3 linked regions of the Canis lupus familiaris genome follow. Each later gene encodes a partner of the first gene's protein in a complex. Links are inferred from orthologs where the notes say so. Each region holds a gene or a part of one and is shown on either strand. Other genes may lie near its edges.

Region 1 (4,293 bases):
GTCTCCCCTCCGTCACTGACCACCTCCCCAACACACACACACACAACCACACACACTGTCTGCTCCTGTCGCTCAGAGCAGACCACGTTCCTGCTCCTCATTGACTAGGACATGTCACGGCGGTGCTTGACCCAGCGCCGATCACGTGCCAACTACTGCACACTAAGCACTTTACATGACTTAACTCATTTCCTCACCACAAAAACCTTAAGAAATGGGTGCTCTTATTTCCCCCATTTTACCAAATGGGAAAAACCGTAGCACAGAGGGTTTAGGTAACTTTCCCAAGGTCCCACAGCTGCCGACCACAACCTCATTGCCTCCAGGCTGAAAATAAAGTCCAAGGAAGTCCCACAAGGTTCCTTGCTTGGATCTCTTGTCCCCGCAGCTTGCAGAGACCTGTCCTGAAGCCCCACTGCCAGCTGCAGCCCTACTGAGCTCTTTAGGCTTCCCGGAGCCCTCGAGGGTTCCCCCCATGCCCTACCCTTGTCCACGCGGTTCCCCCACCTGGGGTCCCAGTTCTATTAAGTCCTCCCATCCGCCGGCCCCTCTTTTCTGCCTTCCCGGACCTCGTCCCCCGGCTCTCGGTGTCTCTGCCCCGGGCTGCCGGCCCGTCCGTTATCCCGCCGAGGCCCGCGACGGGGAGGAGGGCCGGCCGCTCCCGGAGGCTGCACGGCAGGGCCAGGAGCCGGCGAATGAATGAGTGAGCGAACGGATGCCTGCTCGCGGCTGCCAGCGAGGCCCCGTGTCTGCGGCCGGGTCGGGGGAGGGCGGCCGAGGCCCGGCCTCAGTGGCTCCGGCGCGGGGCCCGAGCCGGGAGCCGGCGGGGTTGCCCCGGGAGGGCGCGGGGCGCGGCGGGGGCAGGGCAGGGCAGGGCAGGGCAGGGCAGGGCAGCGCAGCGCAGGGCGCGGACACACCCCCTGCAGTGCCCCCGGCGCCCGGCAGGGGGCGCCGCCCCGCCCCCGCCCCGCCGCCCCGGGCAGGCCCCTCGCGCAGGCGCGCTGCGGCGGGCGGAGGATCCGGGCCGCGCTTCCTCTCGCCAGGCCTGCGAGCTTCCTCCCGGCGGAGCCCCGGGCGAGCCCAGCGTGTCCGCCGCCGCCCCCCGCCCGCGCCCGCCCGCCCGGGGGCCCGCGGGGAGGGGTCCGAGCGGGGCGCCCCCGCCGTCGGGGCCGCGTCCCGGCCAGCCCGCGGCCGCCAGACCCCGCCCGGCCCTGCAGCGCGGGAGCCCGCCGCCCCGACCCCGGCCCCGGCCCCGGCCCCGGCCCCGGCTCCCCGCCCCGGCCCCGGCTCCCCGCCCCGGCCCGGCCGCCACGTCCCCGCCCCGGCCCGGCCCCGGCCCCGGCCCGGCCCGGCCGCGCTCGGAAGCGGAACTCTGCGGGGCCGCGCGGCTACATTGTTTCCTCCCGCCGCCCCCGCCCCCGCCCCCGCCCCCCCGGCCGCCGCCGCCGCCGCCGCCGCTTTGTACCGCGCCCCCGGGGACCCCGCGCCCTCCGCGCCCCGGCCGCGTGCGCCGCCCCGCAGCCCGCTGATGCTGCCCGCCGCGGGGTGGCCGGACCGCAGCGCCCCGAGAGGTGAGTGCGGGCGGGGTCTGGGGGAGGGGGCGGCCGGGGGCCGGGGCAGGTCGCGCCTCCCGCCCGCCCGGCCCGGGGCGCCGCGCTCGCGTCCCCCCGCCCTGACCCCCGCCTTCCCGGTTTGAATTCTCCCGGGAGCCGCTGTCAGCCCGACGGGGGGGGGGGGGGGCCGGAGGTGCTGCCCGGGAGCCCCACGGACCCCTGCCCTCCTGGCCCCGCCTGGCAGGGCCGGCTGGAGCCCCAGGGAGCCCCAGGGAGCCCCGAGGGGGTCGGCGGGAGCCCCCAGGCCCTGGACCTGCCCGGCCCTCCGCGCGGGCCCGGCCTGCCCCCTTCCGAACCCCCTCCCCGCCGGGGCCGAGGCTCAGGAGGCCCAGGGCCCGAGCACCTCCTTGATCTTGCAGGAGGTTCAGCCTGTCCCCCTCCCAGACGGCCAGGCCTCAGCCGAGAGACCTGTGACCCTTGGGTGGAGACACTGGGCAGATCCTCTGTGTGTGGGGATGTGACACCGGGCCCTGGGACGGTGCCCCCCCTCCCTGCAGCCCGGTCATCTCATTCTCCCAGACGCCTCGAGGCCCAGGCCCCGTGTCAGGAAGAGGCGTGTCCGGCCACCAGATCCTTGGTGGTTAACTTAGGGGTTCACCTCCCCTCGGCGTTTTGTGGACCAGGAAACTGAGGCTCAAAGTGGGAAGTTGCCACCCCAGGTCTCCGCCAGGGTCCGGCCGTCCTTCCAGGCTCCGCTCCGCGGAGCAGGACTGCTGTAGATGGAGGGAAGGCAGGCAGGTGCCTTCTCCCACCAAGGACCCAGGCCCCCAGCCTGACCCGGGGGACCTTGTGGGTGAGCACGTGCTTCCCTCCAGAGGGCTTCCGGCCCCAGCGCTGCCCGGCTCTGGGCTCAGGCCGTGTCGCACTGCCCACGGGATTTCCCCTTGGTGCCTGAGGTGGGTGCTGCTGACAGGGGATGTGGCGGGAGGGGGGCACCTTGTCTGGTGTGGCCACGGCACAGAGTGGAAACAGCCTGGCAGTCAGTCCCGACCCAGGCCTCCCACACACTGGGCCCAGCTGCCCCAGGAGCAGCCAAGTCCAGAACACGAATGGGGTCCAGACAGGGAAGGGGAGAGCCCCGCTTCCACAGCCGTGGTGGAGCAGCGTGGCCAGTGGGCACACACAGCGGGCCCGTTCCAAGCTCCCCACGCTTTGGTGGTTCCAGCATCTTTCTTGATGGGGCCCCAGCAGTAACGGGGCAGAGGCAGCACAAGGAAGGCTGGGAGGGTGGCAGGGTCCTCTTGCTCCCTGGAGGGTAGGAGGTTCCCTGGAGGCTGTTGAGCTCTGTCTGGGCCCCCGTGGGGCCGTTGGTAGTTTTGTCCTGCTCCAGACTCTGCCCGTGATGTAGTGTTTTTCCAGTTGCCCCGCCATGCACAGCGAAGGGGACCCAGAAGTGGTGGGCCTGTGAGGCGCCCCACACCCGGCCCTAACTTCCTTTCCGGCCTGAGGGCCTGGGACTGAGGCCTGAAGATCGGGCACTTTTATGCCAACTGTGAGCTATGTGGATGCGGCCCCAGGGTCCCCAGGCCTTGGCAGAAAAGGGTCTGGCGTCCGGCCAGCGCACGTGTGGAGATGTGTTTCTTATCTGGTGAGCTTGTTGCCTTCCCCCCTTGCAGAAGTGGCTGCTCTTCTTTCTGCGTCGGGTCAGGGGCAAGGAAGGACCACATGATAGTCTCCGGGGCTGCTACAGGGGGCACCAGGGCCCAAGAGGTTGAGCCACCGTGAGCAGACCGGGGTACAGGTGGGGCTAAGGCCCAGGGGTCACAGTGCATGATGCAGCCGCCCGAACAAGCTGCCAGCTGGCCTCATGGGGGAGAACGGCCTGGGTCCAGTTCTGGGCTCTATTTTTTGAGGCCTCTTGAAGCCCCGACACAGAGTTCCCAAAGAAAGAGTTTGGTCCAGGAAAGAGAAGGTAGGGAGGGACGGCTGGGTGGCTTAGTGGCTGGACGTCTACCTTCGGCTCAGGTGTGATCCCAGAGTCCCGGGATCGAGTCCCTCCCTGCAGGGAGCCTGCTTCTCTCTCTGCCTGTGTCTCTGCCTCTCTCTCTGTGTCTCTCATGAATAAATAAATATCTTTAAAAAAATAGAGAATGTAAGGAGGGCCCTGCAGGTGCCCAAGGGGCTGTTCCAAATCAGAAAGGCCGTCCCTCCGTGGAAGACGTCCCGGACGTCAGGGCCAGATCTGGGGGGGGCAGTCAGGTCCCAGGGGAAGCAAGTCTGAGCTCAGGAGAAAACTATGTGATGCTTTCTTTTTTTCCTTTTTTTTTTTTTTAAAGATTTTATTTATTAATGAGAGACACAGAGAGAGAGGCAGAGGGTGAAGCAGGCTCCATGCAGGGAGCCTGATGCGGGACTCGATCCCGGGTCTCCAGGATGGCACCCTGGGCCTAAGGCAGCACTAAACCGGTAGGGCCACCCGGGCTGCCCTATATGCTTGTTTGTTTGTTTCTTTCTTTCTTTCTTTTTTTTAAATTTTTTTTTAAATTTATTTATGATAGTCACAGAGAGAGAGAGAGAGGCAGAGACACAGGCAGAGGGAGAAGCAGGCTCCATGCACCGGGAGCCCGATGTGGGATTCGATCCCGGGTCTCCAGGATCGCGCCCTGGGCCAAAGGCAGGCGCCAAACCGCTGCGCCACCCAGGGATCCCCCTATCTGCTACTTTCTTAATGCAGAGAGTA
Region 2 (4,001 bases), on another chromosome or scaffold:
CCAGCTGGGACTGAATTCATGCTCAGGTATGATGCTCTTTGTGGATGGAGATGACAGCTGCCTGTGCTGGTTTTCTAGGCCATGTGGGTCACTGCAGCCACATCTGCAGGCAGGAAACAAACCAGAGAGCACCGTCCTCCAATGTGAACTGTCACATATCACTTTTACCCCCTTGATTCTCTGAATATATGAACAGGGAAGTAAAAAGCAATGGCATCCACTTGAAAGTAAAGGAGAAAATGTACTTCACCCCCTTGCACATCTACCTTGTGCTAGGCCAAGCAAGTTATTTAATAATAATTATGGTAATAATAATAACTCCCAGTCTTGGAGAACTATGTTGTGAGTCCTGGTAAGCACTTTGCATACTTTAATGCTTAACTTGAATTTCCTTATCTGTAAACTGAAGATAATAATACACATATCTTATTACTATGAGGATTAAAGGAGAATAGATGGAAAAAGTACTTTGCAAGTTGAAGCAGCAAGGTCAAAAGGGAGAGGATTTGAAAGAAACCAGTTAAAATCCCAACTCGATCTGATCTCACTGAGCTTCAGTTCCTCATCACCCAAGTGGAGAGGAAACCACCCACCCCAGTGAAGAATTGAGGGAGACAGTAAATTAAATAGCAGCTGGTGTGCATCACTAGAAAGTGTTTAATAAATGTTCATATTCTCTCTTCTGTTATACATGTGACCTGCTTCCATTAACCTCCATCAGCAAGCAGCCGTCCAATGTCCCTGTTATCCAAAGATGCATTTCCCTTTCATAGTAATGATGATTTTATCAGTCTAACGTGCCAGACACTGGCTCAACAGCTTTACAGCTATGAACTCACTTAATCCTCATCATAATCCCGTGAGGTACGTACTACTGTCATCCCCCATTTTATAGATGAAGACACTGAGGCAGGAGTTTAGCTAATTTGCCCAGATTAAAAACAGATGGTAAGCAAGTCAGGCGCTGAGCTGTCTGTCTACCCTCCTAACCATAAGGCAACAGTGCTGATGGGGGTGAGTCTGTTCGACATTCCATGCTTGGATCTATTCTCTTCTAGACATAAGCAATGGACGCTCTCACAAACCACAATGTGTTGACTAACTTTTCAGCCTCTGGAATAACATTTTAATATTTTTCTAGAATTCTTCAAAAACCTATGATTTGTTTTTAAATGCAGGGCCTATAACTAGCTCATCTTGTTCTATGTGTTGGAATGCCATAAATAAAAGCACTTCTCTTTCTCAAGATTGCCTAGATAAATCTTACATTAAGACACATCCCTGAGTTTGGTTTAAACATTTATTATAAATCCAAATTTAAACAAATATATATGTATATATACCTTCACACACATATAGGATGTGTGTTTAATGCTGTTAAACATTAACAGCTTAATGCTGTTTCATTAAACTAATGACTCTGATAGCAAATAACCTGAAAATTCTCATTTCGAATCTTCAGTCTTAAGTCATAGCAATACCATATTTATTTCAAAGTGTTCTTTTTACGAATTTAATTGACTCAAATATTAAATAAACATCAATGATGATAATGTATTGCTCTACTTAATGGGAATCTCTAGGGGACAGATGAAAAAGAAAGGTTCTAGAATTCTATCCTTCAAAGCAGGACAGGACAGCTACCCATAAATCATACTCTTTTTTTATTAAGATAATTAAGCCCACCAGTAGTACACTTAACTTTCAGACTCAACAAATGTCTGGGATGAACAATTCCCACTTTTTCTAAAACAAAGAGGATGTGTTCAAAAAGGGTCCTCTGCAAGCTCTCTGCACAATGCACGCTATTTTAAAACATGATTTATGTGTCTAATTCCTGGAGCTGCCTTGAAAAATATACTGGGTTCTTCCTCGCATGCTACCTACTAGGAGAAGACACTCCAATTTGAAGAGTGCCCTCTGTTTCAGACTACAAGAACGCTATATCATGTCAGCATTTTCATTAAATACTGTTCAAGCTGGACCTTAAACAAATGGAAGGGAGAGCCACAGCTGCAGCCACTGCAGAGACGGTTATCCCGCCGGGAGGCTTATATAAGAGGCGCAGGGCCGGCAGGGTGAAACCCAAGTGTCATCATCCAAATCCTATTTCTTTGAGACTTGCCCACATTCTTGAAATGTACGAAATCACAGACGATGGACGGATTTCTCATTTTATTTGCCTGATGGCACAAAACGCCGTGTTGACTTAACAACTTGTTTTCTCCCTAAACGCCTGGGCTCCAATGAGGGAGACGCTGGCAACTTCTGCCTACGGGAAGAGCGGAGTGGGATGCGCGCGAAGCCCCAAGGACTGGCTGGCTGCCGTCCCCAAAGACCCATCGCGTCCAGGGGTCACTCCCCCGAGGGCTCAGGAGAGAGGTAACGCGACCCCGCACGCTCCCTCCACCGCCAAACGCGGTCCAGGAGCTCGGAACGTGCAGTCAGCGGCAGGCGAAGCGCCCTGGGAGCACCTGTCCTCCCGCAGCACGTTTCCAACCCGCACACTCGTCCTCTCCCCGCGCGCCGGGTCCGCTTCTCCGCACCCCGACCTCCCCGAGCCCGAGCGCGGCCCCTAACACACGGGGGCCACCCCCAGCTTCATGCAAAAACGATCATGCCAACGCACCTCCCCTCCGCACGGCTCCCTGCAACTTCAGAAACTACAGTCAACTTACCGGGACGCGGAGACCGGGAGCCCTCCGGGGTGGGGCGGGGGGACCGCGCTCGGCTGCGCGCAACCCCGCTGGCCCCGCACCGCCCGGGCGGCTGCACGGCTGCTCGGCTGCTCGGCTGCACGGCTGCTCGGCTGCACGGCTGCACGGCTGCACGGCTGCTCGGCTGCTCGGCTGCACGGCTGCTCGGCTGCACGGCTGCTCGGCTGCTCGGCTGCACGGCTGCTCGGCTGCACGGCTGCTTGGCTGCTCGGCTGCTCGGCTGCACGGCTAGGCGCCGCCGCTCTGCACCAGCCGCCTCGCTCCGCCGCGCCCGGGGCCGGGGGCACTGGCCAGGGCGCGGCGGCTGCGGCGGCACCGGCCGCGCGGACCCGGAGCTGCAGAGCTGCAGGCGCCGCCGACCCCGGAGCGCGGCGCTCCGAGCCCCCGGCGCGTGTCTCCGGCTCCGAGCGAACGGCCGCTCGGCGAGGACCGCGGCACCGGGAGAGCCGAGGCGCCGTGCCCCGCAGAGCCTCCGGGGGGCTCCCGGGCGGCCGGTCACATCGCGCGCGCAGCACCGCAGTCCGCACTCGCCGCCGCGCCGCGGAGAATGACAGGCGCCGAGGCGGAGCAGCCGTGCGGGGCGCGGGGCGCCAGTGCGCATGATCCCGGCCGGCTGCGGCACGTCACGGGGGAGGGGGAGGGCGGGGAGGGAGGGGAGGGAGGGGAGGGCGGGAGGGAGGGAGGGGAGGGCGGGGAGGGGGCGCGCTGGGCGGGGCCGGGGCGGGGGCGGGGGGGGGCCTGGCGCCGCGCCCCGCTCCGCTCCCTAGCGGGGAGGCGCAGGAAGTCTCCGCCTCGGGGTTCTGCGAGCCCTGGAGCCGCGAGGTTGAACTTGTCTGCAGAGTCCATTGTCCTTGACCCCCCACCCCGCCCCGTGTGCTCTCAGGGGTCCCCAGGGCGCTGGGCAAGCCCCGAAGAGCCACGTTAGCTCAGGTATAGCTTAATCGTGAGGGCCTGCCACTGAGGGGACAGGGGTCCTCCCCACCTGGCTGTACATTACAGAATGACTTGGGAAGCTGGTGGGAGCCCTTTGCCCTGACCGCACCCCTGGAGTCCAGACTTAAGTACCGGAGAATCCCTGGGTGAGGCTCGGGTATCAGTAAGGTTGTAAAGCTTTCCAGATGATACCGGGGTACAAACAGCAGAGGTTTTTCAAAGCTGTAGCGTTTGTCAGAATCTTCTGAGCATTTTGAAAGAATGCAGATTTCTGACTCACTAGGCCTAGGCGTTAAGGGAAGATCCTTCATTCCTAACACGATCCCAGTTGATGCCAGTGCTGTGCTCTAG
Region 3 (4,147 bases), on another chromosome or scaffold:
ACACAGATGGTCTACCTGGAACCAGAGGTGATTTTCTAGAATTCCCACAAAGTCTCTACCATTTAGGCTAACAGTGGCCTTGTGTCACAGAATCAGTCCTCCAACCTCAAAAATCAAATCTTGGGAGAATAGATGAAAGGGCTTAAGGAGGGGTAGGGAACAGGACCAGATGGAAAGCCCTTCAAGTTAACAGCAGTATTGATCTTGTCCCGGCAAGCAATCTAGCCCTGTTCACCACTACCCAACTCCCCCAAAATGAATGTCTCCGATATCTCAGCTGAACCGTTAGGTGGGACTGAGGGCAAGACTCTGTTTTTCCACTGGAGGACGTGAGTCAATGAACAGTGAGGTTCCACTTAATCACCATCCAAAAACAAGGTCCTTGAAACCAAGAGCTAGGAAAGCAAGGAAGTGATTAATACAAAAGTCAGGATAGTGATTATTCCTTGGGCAGAGCAGATCAGGACATGATGGGGGTGGGGGATGGGAGTGGGGTGCAAGGTCGGCCAGAGAAGTGATATACAGAGGTCTTCCTAAGTCCAAGAATGTTCTGGTCCGTGACCTTGATGGTGGTGGCTTTATAATTATACTTACACATGTTGTATGTAGCTTTATAACTATGTATTATATTTCACAGTTTTAAACAGCTGAAAAAAAGAACTATACAATGTTTTTAAGCAGGGGGAAATGGCCAGGTCTGTGGTTATTAGATCAGTTGGGTACTGAATGGAAAATTGATTGAAGGTGGGACAAGTCTAGAGGCAGAGAAAACAGGAGGTTAGGTGACTTCCATAATTTGGTGGGAGTTTATAATGACTGAGGTAAGAAAAGGTACAATATTGGGGATGTAGTCTATATTATTTTTAAAAACACAACTGGAATAAGACAGAGGCTGGCCCTACCTCCTCAGGTCACTTTTTACCTCTATGTGTTGGGTGAATTTGGCTCTGGAGTATAGCCCAGGGGGAGGCACATATCTAAACAGACACGTAGGTCAGGACTTCTCCTTGCTTCCCTCCCTGGTAGGTCTACTCAGAGGGACTCACTGCCTGGCCAGTGGCGATGAGAGTACATTTTTCACGATGCCCCAATATTACCCAAGTTGAGTTGACATAGGGGCTTCTCTCACAACATATAATCACTCAGTCATAATATCTAATCACTCAAGACTTTACTGAGTGCTTTCATATCTACTATCGGGTGCCAGAATATTAGGTCCATGAGCACAGAAGTTTGGTCTTGTTCATGGCTGTATCTTCAGTGCCTAGAACCAAACTTGGTATACAGTAGATGCTCAATAAATATTACTGAATGAATGAACACTTTTAATTATTATTGATATTTAATCATCACAACAACCTGTGAAGACAGGTAGGACATGGATTATCATCCTCATTTTGGAAGTTAGAAAACAAAGACATGGGGAAATTAAGGAACATGTCAAAGAAAGAGAATCATGATTTGATTTCAGATTTTCTGCTTCAACTCTCTTGTTTTTCCTACTTATTCACAGCTGAAGACCGAAGGCTTCGAGTTCTTATAGCCCCGAAACACCAGCTGGAGGTATTCCAAAATACATAGTAGGCACTATCAGATAGCCTATGTCCTCTGATATGCTAGGTTATAGGACAAATGAGGCCTACCCAGCTGCTGACACATCAGTCACCACAGTCTCCTCAGAAGAGAAGCAGTGTTTTCCTGGATGGTCAGATCTAGTTGGCCCTAGGCTACCTGGCACTTATATTTGTCTCCATACCCCTCACTTGTGTCTACTCCCCCATCCCTGTTATTCCACCCCTCCAAGCAAAAGAAGCTTAAGGAAACCCTGTTAGTACAAAAACACATGTGCTCATTTTTCTTCTCAGAAGAAAAATAAAAGAAGAAATAAAGAAATATGACAGGAGGTAGTTTCAGTGCTCCTCAAGAACCTTTGTCATCCAAATGGGATTCCATGGGGAGGCTAAAACATCATGTTCCATGAAAAGTTAATCTTGGTTTCTTTCCTCTTAATATTAATTAAAAGTAGTCATTTGAGAGCAGCCTGGGTGGTTTAGCAGTTTAGTGCCTGCCTTCAGGCCAGGGTGTGATCCTGGAGACCTGGGACTGAGTCCCGCATTAGGCTCCCTGCATGGAGCCTGCTTCTCCCTCTGCCTGTGTCTCTGCCTCTCTCTCTCTGTCTCTCATGGATAAATAAATAAAATCTTTAAAAATAAAATAAAATAAAAGTAGTCATTTGAAGCATCAACCACAACTCAATTCAGGTACCTGGGAACTCCAGATGGTCAATTAATATGAGTACTTATACACCTGGAATTGTGTAAGCCTTCCACAGGAATCCTGGCCAAACTCCTGAGAACTAGCAACCAACATTTGAAATAGTTTTTTCAAGAGAAAAACACACAAGCCACTGAGAAAAGTCGAGCTTCTGGTTTTGCCTCTCTCCCTTCTTCCCCTGCAAGGTCTGACATTCACTTTTTATCCCAAGAGCAATTTGGTCTAGGACAGTTGGACCATCCTCATCAATTAAGCAGTCTGTGTAACTACCTTGAGAGTGTCACACATAGGACTCACCAGAAATTCATCAGCAAACTCCTCTTTGCTAGATTTCTTGTTTTGGGCCTCATCCAGGAACTTGTGCAGAATTTCCCTTTGGTCCATGCTGCAGGCCAAGAGAAGCTGTCTACCAGCGGGTTAAGGGAGGGCATGTCAAATGTATGTCATGGCCGAGATACCACCAAGAAGCCACTGCTGCTGCCAGAGCAGAGCATGTTGAAGGCTGTGGTTAACTGACTTCGTCACAAGCCCTAGAGGAAATTAGTACGCAACCAGCCTCTGTGGTCACACAACAAAGCCACCATCACTCCAGGGCCCTAGTGCCTCCCTTCTCAAGGAAGGAACCTGGTTTACAGTTCAAGTTTTAACAAACAAGAGGCTAACCAGAACATAACACATGGTCTGCTTAGCTCTGAGACTCTTCCACTTCATCATCTTTAAGCAAGATTCACCTTTTTTTTTCTTGTTTCCTAGAGAAAAGGCAGAAGGCCAGTTCTCATGGCTGGGGTCTGCTTCTCCCCAGTTCCTCCACGAACACAGAGGTCCTGCTAATACTTTCTGTTTCTTCAGGTCCCAGATGAACTCAGAAAAATTAGTGTCAGAAAGGGAGATAGGCACTGTATGGAGTTAAGACATCTTCCACCTGTACCGTTCTCCCCAAAGTTCTTTGTCCACGTGATCAGTGGCAAATTTCTGTTCATCAGACAAGGCATTTTTATTCAGAAGTTTTAAGCCTGCCAGACAGACCTCAAATTCTCTTTTGGATGAAGCAAAGTCAGCTGCTTCTGACAGTCTGTATCTCTCCCCAGGGCTGGGGAAGTGCCGACCTGCTTAAGGGAAGTGTTGTTGATCTCAGGACTGTACAGGAGCCAGGAGAATAGTGTGACCCCGCCCCACGAAGAGCACCTGATGAGGAAGTTGGCCCAATATCCTCTGTATCCAATACTAGTTAACTATAAGGAACAGAAGAAAGAGTAAAATCGACTACCTTGCTGGCAACAGTAGCTTTCCAGGTCTAGAGAAGACATCTCTACTTTCCCAAAGAGTGCTTTGGAAAAGGCCATTGCTTCAGGAGGCCACACTGTACACATGGCATTTTGGCTTGTTTGACAGGCAGGCTGTTCTAGAAAAAAGCTTCCATATCTCAGCTTGAATAAATCCTCTCCTCAGCGAGTACAAACCTACCTAAGACTGTCTCATACAGAGTAAGTGCAAGCCAAAATCAGCATATCATCTCTGCTTGAGGACAGGAGTTCCATAAATGTTAGCAAAATTAGCCTGAAATAATACCAAAGGAAACCGGGAAATGTGCCATTAGAGCTTCCTCTATTTAAGATATTAGCAATCCTTTCTGTTTTGCATTATTCAAACTTCCTTTAGGAAATTATGATTCCAAACACTATGAAGCTGCATCCACTTTATTTTCCTCACAACAGGAAAGGAACAGTCTTTGAGGGATCCTGCTATAGGCAGGTGAGGCCAATAAAGAATTTCAATCCAGAGCCACATAATAAATTAAAATTAAGCATAATTCTTCAATAATATTTGTTGAGAATAGGATAGTATTTCCCCAGTTAGCCCCATCTGGCATTAA

The links.
Region 2: the proteins of CSK (region 1) and PAG1 are in contact, whole or in part, in an NMR structure (PDB 2RSY), measured with the Rattus norvegicus proteins. The link is inferred for Canis lupus familiaris from reciprocal best matches to the Homo sapiens genes CSK and PAG1. Residues at the interface, in NP_001025210.1 of Rattus norvegicus: Thr88, Arg89, Glu93, Arg107, Ser109, Thr110, Asn111, Tyr112, Thr117, Cys122, Glu123, Lys125, Val126, Glu127, His128, Tyr129, Arg130, Ile140, Asp141, Tyr156, Asp161, Gly162; in NP_071589.1 of Rattus norvegicus: Phe291, Ser292, Leu294, Tyr296, Lys297, Ser298, Arg299, Glu300, Glu301, Leu305, Ile310, Met313, Tyr314, Ser315, Ser316, Val317, Asn318, Lys319.
Region 3: the proteins of CSK (region 1) and PTPN22 are in contact, whole or in part, in an NMR structure (PDB 1JEG), measured with the Mus musculus proteins. The link is inferred for Canis lupus familiaris from reciprocal best matches to the Homo sapiens genes CSK and PTPN22. Residues at the interface, in NP_001291690.1 of Mus musculus: Phe20, Thr23, Gln26, Ala40, Val41, Thr42, Lys43, Asp44, Asn46, Trp47, Ile59, Pro61, Asn63, Tyr64; in NP_033005.1 of Mus musculus: Pro614, Pro615, Leu616, Pro617, Glu618, Arg619, Thr620, Glu622, Ser623, Phe624, Ile625, Val626, Val627.

What each region holds. Positions count from the first base shown.
Region 1 is NC_049251.1:38,289,626-38,293,918, forward strand, and holds the start of CSK (tyrosine-protein kinase CSK), read left to right. Parts: upstream 1-1,493; 5' UTR 1,494-1,571; intron 1,572-2,216; exon of another isoform or gene 2,217-2,509; intron 2,510-4,293. UniProt on the Homo sapiens protein: Non-receptor tyrosine-protein kinase that plays an important role in the regulation of cell growth, differentiation, migration and immune response.
Region 2 is NC_049250.1:28,910,271-28,914,271, forward strand, and holds the start of PAG1 (phosphoprotein associated with glycosphingolipid-enriched microdomains 1), read right to left. Parts: upstream 2,801-4,001; 5' UTR 2,679-2,800; intron 1-2,678. UniProt on the Homo sapiens protein: Negatively regulates TCR (T-cell antigen receptor)-mediated signaling in T-cells and FCER1 (high affinity immunoglobulin epsilon receptor)-mediated signaling in mast cells.
Region 3 is NC_049238.1:52,206,518-52,210,664, forward strand, and holds the start of PTPN22 (tyrosine-protein phosphatase non-receptor type 22), read right to left. Parts: upstream 2,801-4,147; 5' UTR 2,659-2,800; coding exon 2,572-2,658; intron 1-2,571. UniProt on the Homo sapiens protein: Acts as a negative regulator of T-cell receptor (TCR) signaling by direct dephosphorylation of the Src family kinases LCK and FYN, ITAMs of the TCRz/CD3 complex, as well as ZAP70, VAV, VCP and other key signaling molecules.